Linked DNA regions of Ovis aries. The protein of the gene in region 3 purifies or fractionates together with the protein of the main gene of each other region. This does not show direct contact. Links are inferred from orthologs where the notes say so. Each region holds a gene or a part of one and is shown on either strand. Other genes may lie near its edges. The genes, in order: SLMAP, PPP2CB and STRIP1.

Region 1 (3,647 bases), on a different chromosome or scaffold from region 3:
AATGTTGAGCTTTAAGCCAACTTTTTCACTCTCCTCTTTCACTTTCATCAAGAGGCTTTTAGTTCCTCTTCACTTTCTGCCATAAGGGTGGTGTCATCTGCATATCTGAGGTTATTGATATTTCTCCCGGCAATCTTGATTCCAGCTTGTGTTTCTTCCAGTCCAGCGTTTCTCATGATGTACTCTGCTTATAAGTTAAATAAGCAGGGTGACAATATCCAGCCTTGACGTACTCCTTTTCCTATTTGGAACCAGTCTGTTGTTCCATGTCCAGTTCTAACTGTTGCTTCCTGACCTGCATACAGATTCCTCAAGAGGCAGGTCAGGTGGTTTGGTATTCCCATCTCTTTCAGAATTTTCCACAGCTTATTGTGATCCACACAGTCAAAGGCTTTGGCATAGTCAAGAAAGCAGAAATAGATGTTTTTCTGGAACTCTCTTGCTTTTTCCATGATCCAGTGGATGCTGGCAATTTGATTTCTGGTTCCTCCGCCTTTTCTAAAACCAGCTTGAACATCAGGGAGTTCACGGTTCACGTATTGATGAAGTCTGGCTTGGAGAATTTTGAGCATTACTTTACTAGCATGTGAGATGAGTGCAACTGTGCGGTAGTTTGAGCATTCTTTTGCATTGCCTTTCTTTGGAATTGAAATGAAAACTGACCTTTTCTAGTCCTGTGGCCACTGCTGAGTTTTCCAAACTTGCTGGCATATTGAGTGTAGCACTTTCACAGCATCATCTTTCAGGATTTGAAACAGCTCAACTGGAATTCCATTACCTCCACTAGCTTTGTTCGTAGTGATGCTTTCTAAGGACCACTTGACTTCACATTCCAAGATGTCTGGCTCTAGATTAGTGATCACATCATCATGATTATCTGGGTCGTGAAGATCTTTTTTGTACAGTTCTTCCGTGTATTCTTGCCACCTCTTCTTAATATCTTCTGCTTCTGTTAGGTCCAGACCATTTCTGTCCTTTATTGAGCCCATCTTTGCATGAAATGTTCCCTTGGTATCTCTAATTTTCTTGAAGAGATCTCTAGTCTTTCCCATTCTGTTGTTTTCCTCTATTTCTTTGCACTGATCGCTGAAGAAGGCTTTCTTATCTCTTCTTGCTATTCTTTGGAACTCTGCATTCAGATGCTTATATCTTTCCTTTTCTCCTTTGCTTTTCGCCTCTCTTCTTTTCACAGCTATTTGCAGGGCCTCCCCAGACAGCCATTTTGCTTTTTTGCATTTCTTTTCCATGGGGATGGTCTTGATCCCTGTCTCCTGTACAATGTTACAAACCTCATTCTATAGTTCATCAGGCACTCTATCTATCAGATCTAGACCCTTAAATCTATTTCTCACTTCCACTGTATAATCATAAGGGATTTGATTTAGGTCATGTATTATTACTTTTTACATAACCCTGTTTGATAAGGAAAAGCTGATTCTGTCTCAATAATATCAATTCTTTTATCACAGCCATCTTCTGATGAACCTTATAAACAGAAGGGATCACTGGCATGAAAGAAAAAAACAAACTTGTATTTGAAATTTATTACCATTTAGCTTACAGGTGAATTTAATCATAGATCATTTGCTGCTTGTTTGCTTAGAGCTTTTGGGAATGGGGGTGGGAAGGCGGCATTTATGAATCTGTATTCCATGAATACACCCAAAGGAAAGGACATAGAGGTGGTGCCAGAAAAAAAGTGCTTCAGTACTCATTTAGTGGGGTTAATCTACCAAGTAGCCAGAAAAGAGCCTGGCTGAATATTTTGTTCCAAAAGGTATTTAAATATCAAAATTAAATTAAATTTAGATGAAAATCTAAGATACAGAAATATTTTGAACCTAAATAAGAGTTCATGCATACTTGTGCAATTCTTTTTCTTGCCGCTGCAGTTCTGAAGATAGCAAAACATTTTCCTTTTTTAGAGAACGGCATTCGGTATCCAATACATTCCATTCCTTTCTCAACTTCTCTAGTTCACCTAAAATAGTCCCAAAACACATTTGTTAATATAGGAACATAACTATTTTTTCCCCTTTAAAAAACAAAGATTTTATATGGCTTTTCCTTGATTTCTGTTACTTTGCAGTTATGCCTCAAGGAAGTTCTCATCATCCTGAACTCCAGTAATATTTTTTTCCCCACTTCACTTTTACAAGACAAATAATTTTTAATAGTATTTAAATAAATAAATGTAAAATTGCAAATTTTTTCAATTCACTGTAGAGCTTACAGATGTGAAGAACGTTTATAGCCTCAATATAAAAACACTGCTTTTATACAATCAATCGTTACGGAAGAGAAAATTAGCCTGACTGCATTCGATTCAGTACAAGTTATGAAGTTATCAGTGTCAAGCATTAAGAGTTTTATGTAAAGTACATTTCTCACCTTGCAGCCTGGTTGCTTCTTCCCTCTGCTGGTCCTCGCACTGTTGACACCGAAGCTGAAAGCTATTTTGCAAACTCATGATTTCTTTCTCATATTCAGATGCTGCTTTCCGCCACCGCTCAAGCTCAGCTCGCACTTTCTTAAGCTCTTCTTGTAAAGAAGCAATGTCAGTGTCCCTCTCAGAGGCAGCCTTTTCTGCCGCTTGATGAAGGAGTAAAATTTCATCTCGGGCACTAAGCAATTCATCTCGGGTACTTGCGATTTCACTGTCCTTCTCCTCCCGGAGATTCTCGATATTGATGTGTAACCTCTGTAGTTGGGCTATAAAAGTATAGTTACTCATCATTTTCTTAGTCCCAGTAATCAGGAATAAAAGAACAGTCCATATGGGACTGTAGTTACTGCACAGCCCAGGCTGTCAGAGCCGTTTGTTGCTTTTGATTAAACTGTACGAGCAATCCATGTTTAATGCATAAAACATCAAAATACAGAAAAACAAAGAGAGGAAAAAAACTCAAAGTCATCTTTATTTCTCCCACACAGAGAAAATTACTTCTAACATTTGGTACTTATTTTCCCAGATTTTTTCTAAGCATTTATACATATATGAAAACAAAAATTGGGAGCAATCATAATGAATACAGTGCTCTCTATACTGCGGGTGATAAATATTTTTTAACGACAAAACAGCTATATTAACTTTCTTCACTAATCCTTTATTTCAGATATATTACGCTGTTGAGTTTTTAATTACTGATGACAATACATCTTATAATGCAATCTTGATTTTTTTCCTCCCGTAAGGGTGAATTCATAGACACAGAACTGCTTGGTCAGATGGTAAACATTAATAAAACCTTTGATATTCTTAACTCAATTTTCTGTTTAATTGTCAATTCCTTAAAGCAGTTTTCTCTGCCGGCTTATCTAAAAATAGTCCACTGTCATTCTCTAGTCCTTTGCTCTGCTCTTACTGGATATCACATTATATACTTATTTGCTTATTGTTCATCTTTTTCACTACATGGTACATCTCATGTATACTATCCTCAAGACTAGAAGAGTAAAGAACCAAGGATTATCGGTTGAATTAATGAATTAATAAAGTTACTGAATACTGCCTAGTCAGAGGTATATTTTTTAAAGCTCTGGTCTTGTTGATGTGAACTGGAAACAATCTGTATAAAATCATGCTGGGTTCAGAACTAGAATACTGGTCTTGGTTACTATAACACAAGAAAATTATAAGTATAAAA
Region 2 (4,171 bases), on a different chromosome or scaffold from region 3:
GCCATCAAGCTGTGGAGCCAGGGTCTGAACGCAGGCTGGCCATTATAAACAAATGCTGCACTCAGCAGGAAAAAGGAGGGCAGAGGTAGGGAAGTAAAATGGAGCTGTAAGGTTAGATGACAGAAAATCAACACCACAAAGGTTTGCCACAGCTGCTGGCAAGGGGCTCCACACTAAGCACCGCTGAGAAGGGTAGGGGCTGCGGGGGGCACGCCACTCTGCTCCAGCCCTCCACATCCCTGGCAAAAGCAGAGGATAAAGATAAATGACAAAGCACTGCCACTTAAAAATTCGTGTTTGGTGGAAAAGTACAAATATTCAGAGAAAAAAGTAGGTAAGATATAAGCTTAAATATACCTCAAAGAAACTAGGGACTGGCAGTTCAACTTATTTAGGAGCTGAAGTCAAAATAATCTCTCTGGACAAATTCAGAAAGCTTGCTCAGGTGACGAAGGATCAAGTGTGATCGAGGAGGGGTGCAACATTCTTCTCCCGAAAGACGTCTTAAAATTATCAGACAGTCAGAGGGAAAAACTGATTCAACTACCAACTTTGCCCACCACTTAAAGTCTATGTCTACTAGTCACAGAGAGGTTAACTGACTCAGCTAATTTCACAACTGGGTATTTCACCCGACAGTCAAGCCTGAGAGAGACAGCGATTTAAAACATCAATCTTAAAACGTGAAATTACAGGTTATCACACAAGAAAATTGAATGTAGCCAGAACCTGAAGCAGTCCATAAGCAATTTGTCTCAGAAACACAAATATACCACTTTTTGGTAGTTCTATTTACAGAAATACATCCTCCTGTATCAATACACAGCTATTTAGTAGACTCACAGACATAGAAAACAAACTAAGGGTTACCAAAAGGGGATGGGGAGGGGATAAATTAGCAGTTTGCGATTAACATATACACACTACTTTATGTAAAAGAAACAAGAACCTTCTGTATAGCACAGAGAACTATACCCAATGTCACGTAATAACCTATAATGAAAAAGAACCTGAAAAAGAATATTGTGTATTTATAGCTGAACAAGTTTGTTGAACACTTAAATGCAACATTATACTTTTAAAAAAAAATTGTTAGTACATAAAAACCCAAAACAACGTTACACTTAATTTAAAAAATAAAACACTATTTTAAACTTAGCATTAACTCTTCCATTCCTAAGACATTTAATTTTAAGGGTACTCTATAAATAATATTAATAAAATCTTTCCTTCAATGCCTTTCTGAAGCATCCTGCTTTCCAAACAAAATCAAGAAAGTCTTAGGGAGTATGGCTTAAAAATAAATAACAATTCAAAAGCATTAAAGAATAAATAATTTTGTTACTCCTCCACGAGACCTTTTTACATAAAAATAGTCTAGGCTATAAAAGATGAATGAGAAAAAATGTAAAGTCCAAAATAATTCCAGTGATTAAGAAAAAAATGGATACAGAATTCAGAAGATTGTCTACGATCACACAATCAAGAGCGACTGAAAACAGTAAACCACCTGCATATTTTATTACTTTTTGGAAATGAAAAAAAAACCTTACATGTAACAGCAACAGAAATAACCTTCTGAAAAGTGCTACCCTTCAGGAGAAACACATACCCCACTTATCATTTCAGGTAAGCACTGTTGCCAAACTTAAGACTTGCCGTCTTGTTTCTGAAAAATCAAACATTTTTGCTTCCAAAGAGCCTCTCAACGTGAAGACCAGCCACCATCTGTCTCAACTAGAGTCAACTTCTATTTTAAAAAATCACAGTCTGCCATCACACCCACCTCTCTACAAACAAATGCCTGACGCGTTACCAAGTATTAGCGATGTTTGAAGGGCCGAGTCACCTGAGAAAAAGCCTCTGTTTATTATTACCACGCGCGTTGATAATTCACAACACCCAGGCTCATTTCGGTGCACTTTCCATTACGAGGCTGCAGGAGATTAATCTGCTTGGCGGCTGAAGCTTCGGGATTGCCAGTCCGCCCGGGTTAATGCTGGGGTTGTCAGCAACCCTCACTAGAGCGCCGGTCACCCCACAATCACACTTGGGTGATGAATTCCAGGTGTCACGGAGCCCCCGCCCACCCATCCCAGACGCCTTAGGTCTGGATCCGGGGCGGTGCGGGGGGGGGGGGGGGGTCCGGGCCTAACCAAGGGCTGTGTCCCGAGAGGGGTCCTGGAAAGGCCCGGCCCCGCCCAGGGGCTGAAGCCGAGCATGAGACGCAGCTCCGTCTGGACCCGGTGCCGGGATGAAGGCGGGCGGGCGGCCCGGGAGGGGAAAGACGAGGGGTCCCCGCACCGCCCACCCCGCACCCAGCCGAAGCTCCCCGGCCGCACCTCGCCCCTCTTCTCGCTCACCTTTTCACACAGCGTCCGGACTTGGTTCTCGTTAAGCTGTTTACACTCATTCAGCTGCTCGACCCACTGGTCCAGGTCCTTAGTGAACGCCTTGTCGTCCATGGCGGCCCCCGCCCCTCCGCCGCCGCCTCCTCCCGCCCCCCGCGCGCCCCCGCCCCGGGCGCCGCTCCCCTAGCCCCCCGCCGCCGCCGCCGCCGCCGCCCAGCTCCCGGCGGGGGAGGGAGGAGCCGGGCACTGCGGACCCCGCGCCCCGCCCAAGCCCCTCGGGCGGCTCCGAGCGCGCGGCCTCCGGGAGACCCCCGCCCGCCCCGGCCCGCCGGCCCGCGCGCCCCGAGAGTCGGTGAAGGCCGCGGGGACGTGCGGGGCTTCCGCGCAGCTGCCGCCGGAGGATGGGCACCCGCCGCCTGCCGCCCGCCAGCCGCTCTCGCCTCCCTGGCTCCTTCTCTCTCGCTCTTTCTCTCCCCTCCCTCCGGCTTTCCGTCATCGCCCGGGCATTTCCGCCGGGAAAAAAGGCGAGCGGGCGGCGCCGCCGGGCCCGGGACTCGAGAAGGCCTGCAGCGCCCCGTGTGGCGCGGCGGAGAAACAGGCCGACGGGCGCGCCGCTGTCTCGCTTTTCCCTTTTGTATCGTACTTCTCCACTCGGGTCCAGACCAGTCTCTCCTCGCTTTTCCCTTTACGTCCTTTTCTCTGAGAATTTTTTTTTCTTCTTCTTTTTTAGCGCTATGGAGAGAGAACTGGGAAGCTTGTGCTTCTCCTTGACCACATAGTCTCCCCAGAGTCTAGCACTGTCCCATAGCCGGCGTTCATTACCTATTAAACAGATACATACGTAAATTCTTCCATATCTTAGCTTTGTCATTAAGCAAGCTGTAGGGCACCGACATCTCGAATCCTCCCTTTAGGCATCAGAAACACGAATCGATTACTCTGTGATTATCAATCAGTTGTCCCTTCCAGCTCCAGCATTCTTCACCACATTTATGCAGTGTTTACTGAGCTCTATTGATTTGTTCACTCAGCAAATGTTCATCGAGCAACTGCTAACTGCCAGATACCCTGGAGAGCAGGTGGTCACCAACCATACTTCCTCTACTAGACAAGTGGCGGCAGGCAGCATCCTTTATCAGAAGGCAAGAGCCCCCTCTTGGCATCGCCAACCTCCTCGCTGTGTCCTTGGACAATGACCAGATTGCCCCCAGCCTCTGAGTCCTCATTTGTTGCAAAGGTGCGGTAAGGCCTGCCTTTTCAAGTTGTGAAGATTAAATTCTACAAGAGCTTATCCGATAGTACAGAATGGAACTCATGTTCCTTGCCTTACTATCCCTACTAGGCAACAGCTACCGAAAGGTTTTCTCCCCGGGGCAAAACGTTGAAGTTGCCTGGAGAAGGGAAAAGAAATTACACCGATTTGTTTTTTGGACGGTGGCAGAGGACAAATGTGTGAAAGACTGAGGTCTTTTCGGGAAGCTATAAATACTCCTAGCGTCGGAAGTCAGTCATATGGTGGGAAATATGGCTGGAAAGCTCCTGTTCTCAAGTGCCTTGTAAATAGCAGCAAAGCAGTTGAGGACAGAACGTGAAAAGATGGCGAAACAGTACTGAACAAACAGGATACCTGCCGTGATTCAGGAGATTTGCGGTCTCCGAGGAGGTTCGTCTATAAAGGTTGAAAGGTTGAGTTTCAGCTAAACCTGTCAAGCTCAGAATGAAATGAGAGTAAGAATAGTGTTTTTGGAGTTCCTGGAGAAGATGGATTGAGAATCAAAATATACCTTGAGGAGAGATGGGAAGGACAGATTGTGTTTAGG
Region 3 (3,647 bases):
GGGCCGCACAGAGTCGGACACGACTGGAGAGACTTAGCAGCAGCAGCAGTTGGGATCTCACCCTTTCTCTCGTGATAAAAAGCCTCGTGTGGAGGACTGTTTCTCTGCACATTTGCGCAGAGCTCAGGGAGGTTTGAAGGCCAAGCCTCTGTTCTTTGGGGCCTGAGGAGCAGCACTGCCCAAGGGCCTGGCCCCGTGGACAGAAGGAAGGGGCTGTAGATACCTGATAGACGTGGTTCAGCTTGAAGTGCTTCAGCAACAGCAGCAGGACGGCAGAAATGGCCTTAACGATGACCTCTTTGTGGCGGTTCACATCCACTCCCAGCTTCATGCTCTGCAGCACTGTGGTGCTAGAAGCACAACCCCGGGTGAGGCCCCAGCATGTGCAGCACCTCCTGCCTGGCGCTCCCAGGAGACAGGACTCCTGAGCCTTCTCGGGGCAGAGCTCCCACCTAACCCTCCACCCTACGGACATCTCAGAGGTTAGGCCTGGCTCCTCCCACCCACCTCCCAAGCAATCTAGCTCAGTACACCTGACTTCTTCCTTCTGATGCCCCAAACATATTCTTGGCCTATTTCCCTGCTTTTCCTCCAAAACTGAACTTCTCATCTCAAGATCTTCCTGAGGCTTCTGCCATCATATGTACTTGTGTTTCTCAGAGCATGTTCTGTTGGAATACCAGCATATTGAGATGGCTCTTGTTATGGGGAAAAGGGGTTCAGAGTCAAATAAATTTAGGAAGCATTTACTTAAATCAGTTTCTTAAGTTTGGAGTTAAGTTCTTAATTAAGGAGTTAACTATAAATCTTTATAAGAGGAGATTTAATATTTGACTCTGGAATCCTTTTTCCAAGGACCATCAGATGCCCTGGCATTCTCTAACGTCCCCTTTGGTGTTAGCCAACCCGCCTACTCCCTCACTGGCTGTCACCACTAGACTCAAGTGGCCAGCCCACCAGGGAGTTAGGCTCAGAGCTGGGCAGTCCTGGCAAGCAGGCAGGAGATCAGGTGCCCAGGTCCTTCTCAAAGTAGAACGTGATCTGAGTTTGTACTCTCAGATCAAAAACATGAGGTCAGGGCCTCAGGAAGGAAGAACCCCTGGAGATTTCACTATTACCCTGGGACGTTCAAAAATATTTTTCATGCCAGTTCACTGGTGAATAGTAAAGAATCTACACCCAGCTCCAATGGCTGATTTTTGTGCAGAAGCTAAAACTGTATGTCCTGAACGTCCTAAGCACATAGCTTTCAAGGGAGCACTTGGGGAAATGTCAGACACAGCCCTATTCATTTAACAGAGGAGGAAGAGGAAGTGACGTCTCCAATTCACTCAGTTGCAGAGTTTACACTAGAATCCAGGCCAATCAGATGAAAGTGTCCCCACAAGCAGTAAAACTAATTATTTTACCCAGTACATTTTCTTTCTTCTAAACCAAGAATACCCTAAACTTAATCTGCAGAGAAGCTGAGCTAATGTAACAGCAGCAGCAGCAACAACAAAACAAAGAACCACCACCACCCAGCAACACGTCCCCTTTCTGTACATCCTCAACTCTCAAGACTTGATACTCACGGCATCTCCTCAGGCAGGACGTCAGCTAGGATGTTGATTGAGTCTGTTTTGGCCTTCGAGGTGGGAGCTGCAGCCAGCAGGATCTTCAGTAGCGCTATCTGGCAAGGAGCAGACATTCACACAGCATGCTGAGAGGGCCCCAGGCAGCATAAACTCCTGAGAGGCGGTGCTTTTAGAGGTGCTTAGGGGGCAAAAGGAGGGGCTCAAGGACACCAGTGGCATGCTCTCAAGGCCTGTTGTGGGGCGGTGACCACATGGCAGGCAGAGCTCTCAGGAGGTGCGCACTCACCATGTACTGTGGCAGGCTGGGGAGCAAGCCTTGGTAGAGAGTTTCTGCAGGGACCTGTTCAACTTCCTCTTCTCCCTTTCAACACAATGCATATAAGGGGCACTGATACAAAGCCTGGTCCTGACAATGCTCTCCTGAGCCAGCCTGCTAGCTGGCTGGAGGAGAATCTCTAAGTATGGACGTAAACGACAATGCTAATAATGATCACAAACTTTTAATAACAAAATGTGCCAGGTACTTCACTTGTAAAGACACAATGAATCCTTACTACAACTCTATGAAGAAAGTACTATTGTTATTTCCATTTAACAGGCTAGGAAGGGAAAGCAGAAGGAGATCGAGTACCTTGCCTAAGTCACCATCCACCAAGGGGTGGCGCTGGGATTGAGAGGTAGGTGGCGGGCCCAGAGTCTGTGCTCTTACCCCTGCACCCGACACGCAGCAGCCCTGCAGCGGGAGCCAGACTGGGAGCTATGTGAGGGCGGGCCAGGATGCTCTGCAGCCTAGGCCTATACAGTGCTGGGAACGGCTGGGATCCGGTGAGCTGAGGAAGGCCCCCAACTCACCCCCGAGAGAGGAGAGCGGAGGTACTCCTCCTCCATCTGTGCCTGGACCTCTGCAATCGATGTGTACTTGTGCTGCAAAGAGAGGGAGAGAGACATTAGGGCAAACACCTCGCATTCTCTGGCCAAATGCCCACACCTGGGAAAGACCCCATGCAATTTTCTTCAAACATCATCTTCTCAAAGAGGGCTAAGTCACCACAGAGATCCTGAACTAAAACCCCAACCCAAAATATTTTTCTAAGTGGGCACCTGTCTCTTAAAACCAGTATAAAGAAAGCACAGAACAGGTTAGGGGGAAACAGGCAAATTAAAGGAGAGGAGGGGACTTGCAGACAGCTACAGCTATAGGAGGAAACGTAAAAGCAGAATCAAGGACTCAAGTACACAGAATCAAGGACTCAAATACTCAAAAAGCCTAGCTGCATGAGGCCCACCTAGTACTACAAATTTCAAAATTATATTTCAAAAATATATGAACACTTATATTGCAGATACACTCTTAGGGAACACCCCTCTTCCTCACTGTGCTGTTTCCTCCCACTGGAGGGACACGTGTGTACCAAACACCCTGGTCTCTCCCCACCGCCGCCCACTCACTCCTCCCCTTCCTGACTGGCCAGCATGGGAGGAGGAACAGGACAGTCTCGCTCAACCTCTTTCTCTTCTCTCTTAAGGAAAAAGAAAAGCCTGTGCACGCTTCTGCTCCTTGCCTAGGCTGAGCAGGGCTCCAGGCCTCTCTGGTCTGGGCAGGCGAGTCTGCCTAACTTTGGAAGGGAGGTGTCAGGACACCTCCTGCAGCTATGCTCCCATATCACTCCATCGGCAACAAGCTGGCATTTGAATCTCCACCTGCCTACTCCTCTAACTCAACTCCCTGAACTTGGGCAAGGAAAACGGAGGCTATGTCCTAGGCCCCTTAAAACGCCAACTGTCAGTTAATAGAATCTTTAATGGGTACCCCAGTAAGTACCCAATAAAAAACGCTCAGTTAAAATAAGTAAAACGCATGAAAAAGTGTTTTCAAGGATACTGCCACTGTCCACCTATTACTCCACCCCTGGTTCCTTCAGGCAGACAGAAGTCTAAAAAAGCTTCTCCCAACAGGATGGTATCACTTTACTCACTTGGGACCAAACTAGGCCAAAAGCATACCTGAAGCCACCTACCTGTTTCAGAGTCTTAATGCTTTCGTGGATTGGCCTGGGCAGCCCCACCACT

The links.
Region 1: the proteins of STRIP1 (region 3) and SLMAP purify together in Homo sapiens (affinity purification with mass spectrometry; 4 studies listed by BioGRID and IntAct, with this or other methods). This does not show direct contact. The link is inferred for Ovis aries from reciprocal best matches to the Homo sapiens genes STRIP1 and SLMAP.
Region 2: the proteins of STRIP1 (region 3) and PPP2CB purify together in Homo sapiens (affinity purification with mass spectrometry; 6 studies listed by BioGRID and IntAct, counting the BioPlex papers as one, with this or other methods). This does not show direct contact. The link is inferred for Ovis aries from reciprocal best matches to the Homo sapiens genes STRIP1 and PPP2CB.

The regions. Positions count from the first base shown.
Region 1 is NC_056072.1:43,446,697-43,450,343, forward strand, and holds part of SLMAP (sarcolemmal membrane-associated protein), read right to left. Parts: intron 2,713-3,647; coding exon 2,392-2,712; intron 1,982-2,391; coding exon 1,864-1,981; intron 1-1,863. UniProt on the Homo sapiens protein: Associates with the striatin-interacting phosphatase and kinase (STRIPAK) core complex, forming the extended (SIKE1:SLMAP)STRIPAK complex.
Region 2 is NC_056079.1:26,064,098-26,068,268, forward strand, and holds the start of PPP2CB (serine/threonine-protein phosphatase 2A catalytic subunit beta isoform), read right to left. Parts: upstream 2,816-4,171; 5' UTR 2,466-2,815; coding exon 2,364-2,465; intron 1-2,363.
Region 3 is NC_056054.1:87,356,852-87,360,498, reverse strand, and holds part of STRIP1 (striatin-interacting protein 1), read right to left. Parts: coding exon 3,596-3,647; intron 2,502-3,595; coding exon 2,430-2,501; intron 1,939-2,429; coding exon 1,864-1,938; intron 1,673-1,863; coding exon 1,575-1,672; intron 351-1,574; coding exon 224-350; intron 1-223. UniProt on the Homo sapiens protein: Plays a role in the regulation of cell morphology and cytoskeletal organization. Required in the cortical actin filament dynamics and cell shape. Part of the striatin-interacting phosphatase and kinase (STRIPAK) complexes.